2 linked regions of the Arabidopsis thaliana genome follow. The protein of the gene in region 2 interacts with the protein of the main gene of each other region in a pairwise test. Each region holds a gene or a part of one and is shown on either strand. Other genes may lie near its edges. The genes, in order: AT1G76590 and AT1G75710.

Evidence for each region.
Region 1: the proteins of AT1G75710 (region 2) and AT1G76590 interact in a two-hybrid assay, tested with the Arabidopsis thaliana proteins (one large-scale study listed by BioGRID).

Annotation. Positions count from the first base shown.
Region 1 is NC_003070.9:28,738,333-28,742,840, reverse strand, and holds AT1G76590 (PLATZ transcription factor family protein), read right to left. Parts: upstream 2,302-4,508; 5' UTR 1,967-2,301; coding exon 1,964-1,966; intron 1,870-1,963; coding exon 1,660-1,869; intron 1,574-1,659; coding exon 1,358-1,573; intron 1,256-1,357; coding exon 947-1,255; 3' UTR 610-946; downstream 1-609. Other genes in the region: AT1G76580 (Squamosa promoter-binding protein-like (SBP domain) transcription factor family protein), read right to left, coding at 4,390-4,508.
Region 2 is NC_003070.9:28,427,099-28,432,105, forward strand, and holds AT1G75710 (C2H2-like zinc finger protein), read left to right. Parts: upstream 1-1,572; 5' UTR 1,573-1,707; coding exon 1,708-2,294; intron 2,295-2,382; coding exon 2,383-2,480; intron 2,481-3,326; coding exon 3,327-4,030; 3' UTR 4,031-4,241; downstream 4,242-5,007.

The sequences.
Region 1 (4,508 bases), 310 kb from region 2:
CAACCATCTTTGACGAATCATAGGTTTTTCTTTTCCACCATCTCCCAAGACCCGCCAGATACAAAGATCAGAATGGTCTCTCCGATCTTTAAATCATAGGTTAGATCCAAAAGTCAGTCAAAAAAAAAAAAAAAAACTAAAATACAACTTATACATAAAAAAATTTAACATCAAAACACCATTAAAAGGTGAGGCAACCACGGAAAAAAGGTAGATGCATGACATCATGAGCATTTCAAATGCCGAAAGTTATTAGGATTTAGCGAAGTATTGTTTCGAAGAACCACGTTATATCGTTCGAAAATAAAAAAAAAATTCTAATAGCACGAGTTTAAAGTTGAAACTACTTGATAACCAATTTAGGGAAACGAAGTATTTGAACTGTTGTTAACAATCGACTTCTAAGTTCTAATGACATAAGCTTCTTTTGAGTCGAAGCTCCTTTCCTTGAAATAGATAGACCCAGAATGTTTTTTGCCCCAGCTTATCACCAATGTTTTTGTGTTCTGACAATACTAATACATGTCTTGATCGACAGTTTCTTATTTTAAATCTCGTTATTCGTCTGTATCATTCTCATTGACAATTTAGTTCTTCGAATATTAGCGCTTCAGTTAAAAATCCTAGTTATCATATTTGCTATTTTATTGTGAAGATAGTACACAGTATACGATACAAACAAGTTGAAGAAACATACCTCCTTCAAACGTATATTTACAGCAAAAAAACTATATGAAAACATATTTCAATCCCTTTGAGTACAGTATATACCTAATTTCTATATGTACTATAAAAAGAAAAACCAAACAATACCTGTAAGTAATATGTCTTACAATATGTATATTCCTAGCTCAAAAGGTTAAAAACTACTAACCATTTAGTTACAACATAACAACCACATTTTCTATAATCTACACTATATAATTAGCTTCCGTTAGTATTAATTTTAGAAAGGAGCACGGTGTGGGACGCCCTTCCGTCTACTTGAATTCCGGTGATTATATATCGGCGGTGTCCCCGGAGAAAGTTTAAAACCGCTCTCATCACCGGAGCTCGAAGACGGTTGATCTCCTGACAAGTAATCACATTTAACGGTGGAGATGGAAAGACCACTCATCAGACGGTTGAAAGCACATGTCTTGCGTATCTTAGTTGGTGTAGTCGCTTCATCAGATTCCCACTCACCTTCGTACTCTCTTCCATGCTTCCCTCTCAAAGAGAAGGTTAGACTTGGATCACGCTTCATTCCTCCAAGCTGAAATAAACCAAACAAAAGGGCAATATGGTCATTTCAACTATACAGAGCAAATTCAGATATTCATTCAAAACAGAGGAAAACAGAGGAAAGAAGAGTTACTTTGCAACCGAGAGAGCAGAAACGGAAAGAATCGAGAAGGCTTCTGCAACAGATTTCACAAGTATTGGTGACTCCTTTGCCGATTCTTGGCTGAGGACGTTCGTTCAAGAAAACGATCCTTGCGCTGTTGATTATATATGTCTGAACACAAGATATGTCTATGTACTTCTGAATCTCGTTTACTCTCACAACGTTGTGGTACGATGATCTCCGTATCTGCAAGTAATGAAAATCCCATTTTCTTAACTCTGTTGGGTGAATTGGTAAGAGAGAAAAAAATGATTTGAAGTTGATGAAAGAACCTGGAGGACACGATGGTTTCTGTGATTGAGCAAACAGTAAGAGCAAAAGGCCTCAGAAGAACAGTCAAGACAGAACATGTTGCACTCGCTTTTGTTGGAAGCGGCGTGGATTGAACAAGGGATGAAGTAGTTTGCTCTTAGCATTGGGATTAGCCATGGTGGAGGATTTAGATTGTAGTTATCTTCTTCTGCTCTCATCATCATCGGTCCCTGAAGAATGTTTAGACCAGTTCCAAATGGTTAATATAAGAATTTGCAAAGAAACTAAAACAGAGTTAAGTAAGAAAGAGAATCAATCAATCACCATAGTTATTGTGAGTTTTGATAGCCAGCTTCAACAGTGAAGAAGAGCAGATTTGATTGAAAAGACTATGAGAGGATTTGAGTTTAGTGGGAGGAGGCGGCGGCTATAGCTGAAAAAGAGAAGTTGAGGTTTTTCTTGTTTTTTGAAGTCGGTCACGATAATACTCAATACGTTTTATAATTCACATGAAAATCATTTAATATCATCCCCTTTTTAAACTGTTTTTATATAGTTTTTTCTTTAATTACTTTTTTTGGCTAAAAATAAGTGTTCTCTAATTTTGCTTTAAAGTCTATGAGAGACACACGTATATTTTGTGCACATGTGTGGGTCTCTAGAGACCCCAGAAGTAAAGGAACTTAAAAAAAAAAGGTGGTGTTATTGATAATTTTGAATCATTATTGTTCACAAATGATGATAAATAATTTTATGTCGTGGTTCGCGACAAAATATCGAATTAGCCGACTATATTATTCGGTCCTACATAATTCCCAACGTAGGAAGATATTTTTTCTACCAAATTTGATTGTCTTAATATCTACTACTATTCATTATGTTTGTGATAGATTATGATATTCACATACATACGGATTATTGGAAGTATCATACGGCCATAGAAGAGAACTCTGAGTTTGGAATTTGGATGCTAAATTTTAGCTACAAGAAATAATTTGTTTTTTTCTTAAAATTTTAAAAGGTCAAAATTAGAAACACGTGGCTAGAGGTGAAGAGCCAGAGAGATGGACCGACACGAGAGGAGACAGAACCGAATTGGAGATTCTGGTGTGAACCGTTGGATTAAAAAGACAAAATCTTTTATAATGTAACGTGGCTCACGCTTTTGGCCCTTTTGGTAGTTCAACCCACATGACCAATCTTAGACCGTCGGATGAAGAAGTTGAGTGGACCGTACATAAGCCACCTCTTGAAATCGTAGGGTTCGAAAGCGTCTGTTACGTGCCAAAGAGTTCTTATCATCTAGTGAGTACTTTTCGCTGAAAGTGCTTTAAACTAGTTTCAAGATTGTGTGTGTGTGATCTAAACTGTTAGATTTTTACGGTCAAAGTGATATCTATATTAGTTGTACGGCTTATGTGTGTGTGAAACTGTTCACATATATGATCTCTTTAGGCTCAAACTGTTAGAAGCTTTCATTTTTTTTATCAGCTGTTGACAAAAGAAACTGTACATACTACTATTATCACCGTTAAATCCATCTTAATATTCATACTTGATAGCTTATATTGGGGGCTGGTAACGAATTAATGAAGCTAGAAAGATAGTTTCAATAGATATGATCAAAAAGTTTGCAATTAATTTGAGATTGCGGATGATATGTCGAAACTACGAGTAAGTTTTCTAGTCCCTACCCAAAAATTATGCAATAGAAGTATCTGTCTTCGACGTATTTTTCAGTCCGCTATCTTCTACATATAATAGAGTTTGAAAGTTAAGTCTTCCGGCAAAATCCAATAACAAGTATTTTTAAGTATCTTATCTTAAATGACAAGTAGTAAATAATCAACATAGATATATAATGTATTACTCGAGAAAGAGACCTGATATCATATTATATGGGATAAGAAACCTAAAGAGATAATAATAAAAAGAGAAGTGTGATCCACGTAATCAGATAGTAGCTATCTATAGAAAATTACACATAACAACTAATTGTTCAAAATGTTGGGAGAAAAGTCGACGAATCATCGTCTTCTTTTCTGCGATCTTATCTCTTTCAACTACACACAAAAGAGATTAGTTTTATTGTTTTGTTTGTATTCATAAAGTGAGTAAATTGAAAAATATCCCAAACAAATGTGGGAAGAAGAAGGTAAAGATGGGGCAATGCACTGTTGACCGACCTCAACAATAGTAGTCAATAGCACGAGACTCACGTGACCGTTGTGGTTTATTTGTGAAGAATCATCTTCACTTTTTAAGATGTCCCTTTAAAATGTTTAGCAAGTAGTGGCTAATACTACTTTTACGTAGGATTAACCAAAAAGGTATTACATTACAATTTTACAACAATGTTCAACTACGTTCACAACTCTACAGAGATACAATAAACACACAGGAGAAAACAGCTTCAGTAAAATAGCAACAGCTTTTGTGTTAAGCAACTAAAAACTGTAATTAAGGGAGAATGGGAAATTAACATATGCAAGAATAAAACATAATTAGCCAAATATATAAAAACTTGGGTGTTGTGTTGAAGCTATGTCTGCTCTGACCTGAACCAGTTTCTCTGTACTCTCTGGCTCACCAAAGACCAGTGAGTGATTCCATCTCTGCAATGTCCAAGATCCACATGTCTTTGGGTTTTCTCACTATGCCTCTCATTCTCAGTTTCCTTCATCGCACTTTTTTTTTCCCTTTTGGTATCGAACCAAAAGAATTAACAACACTTAGTTATATAACAAACCTTAGATTGAGCCATAATCAAGACCACCCCAACTGAAGTGAGAGCCTTGTCTGACCATTGGGAAAGCATGCATAAACACGCAGACGCAAACACATACTGTCGCAACCGCAAGCATCGAGT
Region 2 (5,007 bases):
ACATATTCTCAAGATCTCGCGCTTCGTTTCTTCTTTTGTCTCAATGAACATAACATATTTAACAAAATTTTAAACGAAATGACTTTATAACAATCTCTGGTGATTTTTATAACCAAAGTTTAAAACAAAAGAGAAGGACAAATGTGGAACACGACAAGTGAGAAGGCCAAAGCGACTGCGTGATAAATCCAAGTATTGCGGCGAATGTGAAGGTCTTAGAATTTTACATATAGTCAACGATCAACCTTAAAATCGTAGTTTCTTTTGATTGCTACAAATTTTCACCCTAAATATGATTAATTTACTTTTATGTTATTGATGATGAATGATTAATATAATTACTCGAAATTGTGTGTTGTGTTTGAACGCAATTACCACAATCTAAAAATATACAAGCTCACTTGAGTTATCACATTAAAAATGTTCTTCCCATAATGTCGACATTTATTACACATTAAATTATTATTTATTTAGTGCATTAAACTGTTTTTTATGATAATCAGTATATTAATAAATGAATTTACACCCATACTTTTTTACACAAACTTCAAGTGTAACTCCACCTCTATTTACTGTACTGAGATTAGTTTATGACACCCTATCCTAATTACTTTGAAAAAAATAGTCTATCAATATGAAGTAATACATTGCATAAATCTGAAATACTTACATACAAACTGAGACCAAAAACTATTGAAGTAAAAATGATATAAATGTACCAAACTATTTAGGAAACAAGGAATTAAGAGCATTGAAATTTTCAAATCGAGACAAATAGAACATTTGGAATCCGTAATCACAGTTCCAAATACGAAGTTTCCAAAGACCTTGTCTGGTGTTTAACGTGTAATCTTGTTCTGTTAAAAAAATACTTTTGACCATACATATCAACAACATCATTTTTAGAATTATTATTATTATTATATTTTTGATGTACTAATTAATTCCATTTCTTTTCTTGTTGTCTTGCTTGCATTCATGGAATCTCCAAACTTTGATTTTTAAAACTAATTATTTCTGTCATCAAACTTGTTTTAATGGTGAACTTATACATTTTTATTATGTAGTAACGACTATTAATAAAGAGATTCCATTCAAAGTTTTGAGTATAATAACCAAACAAATCAATACTACCAATATAAACATCAGTGACGTTGACTAATTCCGCCTTTAAGAAGGTCAAACTGTAATGGAAGATTATAGATGAAGCAGTTAAAGCACATACAAAGCCAACCAAGCTCGTCCAAAAAAATTAACTTCAAGATCTTCTAACTAATTTATAATCATCAAAAAAGTAATTTACTATCTATCCAAAATCCATAATTAAATACTGTTTTTTCTTTTGAGGAAAATCCACAACTAACAAAGCAAGCAACCAGATGCCAAAATTAATTAGAAAGATATTTTTCTCTGACAAAACAAGATATCTGAATATAGTTAAATTAGTACCCTATTTTCTATTAAAAGATTATAATTTTAATAAATTCGAACGACAAGAATATTAATCAGAAGGGTAAGAAAGTAAAACTGTAAAATAAAGAATTAAAGAAAGATAGAGCCCACTACTTTAATCTTCTTCCCTCCTTATTACCCATCTTGGATCCATCTTCGATTTCAACACCTAAAAATAAAAGCTTATAATTAAAGAACCATAAAGACGAACACAAAAGAAACTCTCACATTCTCAAGAGTTTCTTTCTTCTTTCAATGGCTTTACTAACTTTCTTGCCGGAGAACGCAGAGGCGCCACAAAAACACAAGCCAACGTCTAGCAAACGAAAGAAACGCGATAATCCCACCGACCAAACGCAGACACAGAAACATAAACCGCAGAAACCGAAGAAAGCAGTACCTCCGAAGCAGCCATCTTCATGGGACCAAATCAAGAACCTATTGACTTGCAAACAAATCGAAGGGTCAAGAGTCCATGATCCTTCCAAGAACTCTCAATCTGGTCCGTCCATGACAACTAACTTATCTCCTTCCAAGCTTGGCTCGTCGTGCAGCTCCATTTGCAGCTTTAGAGACGTGGCTCACGGCAACACTCGTGTGGTTCATAGAGCTGATCACTCACCAGACGTAGGTAACTCGGCTACTCCTAACTCGGAGACTCGGCTTCTGACTCGGAAACCTGGTCAACACGGTTCTTCTTCGTCTCGGTCTCTTACATCTGGCTCAACGAGATCTAACGCCAGTGGGAGTTACACGTCATCGTCAACGACTTCGTTTAGAGCCATGCAGTTCCGTAAACTCTCCGGATGTTACGAATGTCACATGATCGTTGACCCGAGCAGGTAATGACACCAAAAATTAATTATGAGTAAGTAAATGTTCTTCTGAATTATATTTTTGTAATTTCATTTTCATGTTCTTGAATTTTAGGTATCCGATTTCGCCTAGGGTTTGTGCTTGTTCCCAATGTGGAGAAGTTTTCCCCAAGCTTGAAAGCTTAGAGCTTCATCAAGCAGTTCGTCACGCAGGTAAGGCTTTTTTTTTCCTTTTAACAAAAATTGTTTGACTTTATCACTTACCTCAAATTAATTAATTACGCTTTAGCTACAATTTTTTATTTTTTGGTGTGTGGTAGTCACATTTTTAAATTTAACCCTAAGTATCTAGTGAGATTTTCGTAAATGCGAATGGCTTGGCAAAGTAAGATTATGTTTTGTATCCTTGGAAAAAAACTTAAGATCTCAGTCCATGATTTGACTTGTGAATGATGATACAACCTTTGTTTGTTTAGTATTGATTGAATAATTAGCATTAACACATGTTTTCCGGCGTATAGGCCCTTGGATTTATCGATAGATTTACCATAATGCTAAGCAAATAATTAACGAACATGCTTTCATTAATATATATCTTAGACTTCGTTGTTTCTTAATGGAATCAAGATCTCAGTGTTATTGTCGGTGATTATATCGATCAAATAAGTTAGGATGATTTGGCCGTATGTTACAGATTGTTTTTGGAATAGAGATTCATACGTATTTTTAGAGAAAGATACAAAAGAGAATAGGAATATAACTGGAGAACAAGATATATTCTATGGTCTCCAAATCCGTCGTTTTGCTTGGAAACACTTACCATGCGATGGGACCATTGTACTATAAAAAGAAACAGCTGTCTCTGCTCTTAACTAAATTCAATGTCCCCCTGAAATATTACGTGTCATTTTTCAATTCGACAGTATCAGAATTAAAACCCCTCACCTGACAAAAACCGAATTATAGAACTGTCTTTAATGTCCCAAAAACTCAGATTTTTGTTTTGACTTGCATATTTTTCCTGATTTTATGAGCAAAAACGTTGTCGTTTAATTGCAGTTTCGGAGTTAGGTCCGGAGGATTCGGGTCGAAACATAGTGGAGATCATATTCAAATCAAGCTGGCTTAAAAAAGACAGTCCCATCTGTCAGATCGAACGGATATTAAAAGTCCACAACACTCAACGTACGATCCAACGGTTTGAGGATTGCCGAGACGCAGTGAAGGCGCGTGCACTTCAAGCAACCAGAAAAGATGCTCGTTGTGCCGCCGACGGCAACGAGCTCTTACGTTTTCACTGCACCACTCTCACTTGTTCACTCGGAGCTCGTGGCTCTTCTTCTCTCTGCTCTAACCTCCCTGTTTGTGGCGTCTGCACCGTGATTCGCCACGGTTTCCAAGGAAAATCTGGTGGCGGAGGAGCCAACGTCGCAAACGCCGGTGTGAGGACGACGGCGAGCAGCGGAAGAGCTGATGATTTGCTGAGGTGTAGCGATGATGCGAGGAGAGTGATGCTTGTGTGCCGTGTGATCGCTGGGAGAGTTAAGCGAGTTGATTTACCGGCGGCGGATGCTTCGGCTACAGCGGAGAAGAAGTCAACGGTGGAGGATAACTCGGTGGTTGGAGTTTCTTCGAGTGGTGGTACGTTTGACTCGGTGGCGGTCAATGCTGGAGTTTATTCGAATCTTGAGGAGCTTGTGGTTTATAACCCGAGAGCTATATTACCTTGCTTCGTGGTTATTTACAAAGTTTTAGAATCTTGAATTTGTAATTTTAACTTGAGAAATAATGTTTGTTTTTTGTACTTCTAACTTTTTAATATTATAGGGAGAGATTAGGGATAATCATCAACCTGCATCATAATTCCCATCTTATTATTGACTATTAAGTGTAATTCTCAGGAGTCTAAGCTAATATGTTCTTGGTTATCTCTATTATTGAAAATCATGATTAGGTTAAGAATTCAGTAGTCGAGTGGGTTAAAAATCATGATTATGAATTATGATGAACTTAACGTGTTATTTCTCAATTTAGGCTTTTTGACCAGTAAATGTAACATTTTGTTAACTATGGTAAATTTCATAGCTGTGTTCACACTTGGTGGGAATCAAATAGTGTGGGAGTGGCAGAGTGATATAATTGCTATCACATGCGTTTTCAGTAAATTATTTTATTCACCCAAGTTCTTTTCGTTATTTTTTAAGAAATATTTATAGGGAAAGCTGATTTTGTAAAAGTTGGGTATTGTATAGTTTTAATTTAGTAGTTATATAGTGTTGTCAAAAAAAGAAGAAGGAAATAGTAGTTATATGGTATGGTTCAGATAAGTTCAAAATTTACCCATAAATAAAAAAGGCTTGCACGCTGAGAGGGTGCACCATTGGAACTTTCCTCGTTGTCAGAAGCTGCTACATTGTTTATTTTTATAATAACTCGATTTCTCCTTGGAGTTGCAAATGAAATCAGAGATTTAGAATCAAACCAGTTTAATATTCGAGTTTTACAACAAATATGTCTAGCATAGGTTAAAATTCAGAAGTTCTATTAAAAGATGGATATAAAGTTGATGCAACTGTAGTGGGCAGAAACATTTTACATTAATTGAGGCCTTTGAAGCTTTGAATATCAGCAAGATAAATTCCAAAGGGAAGGTGTTTTCTGCTTTTAGTCTTATGTTGTGAGAGGTTTTGTTGAAGTGTGTTTGTAAATGATTTCAGATCACCACAAAATAGTGCATTAG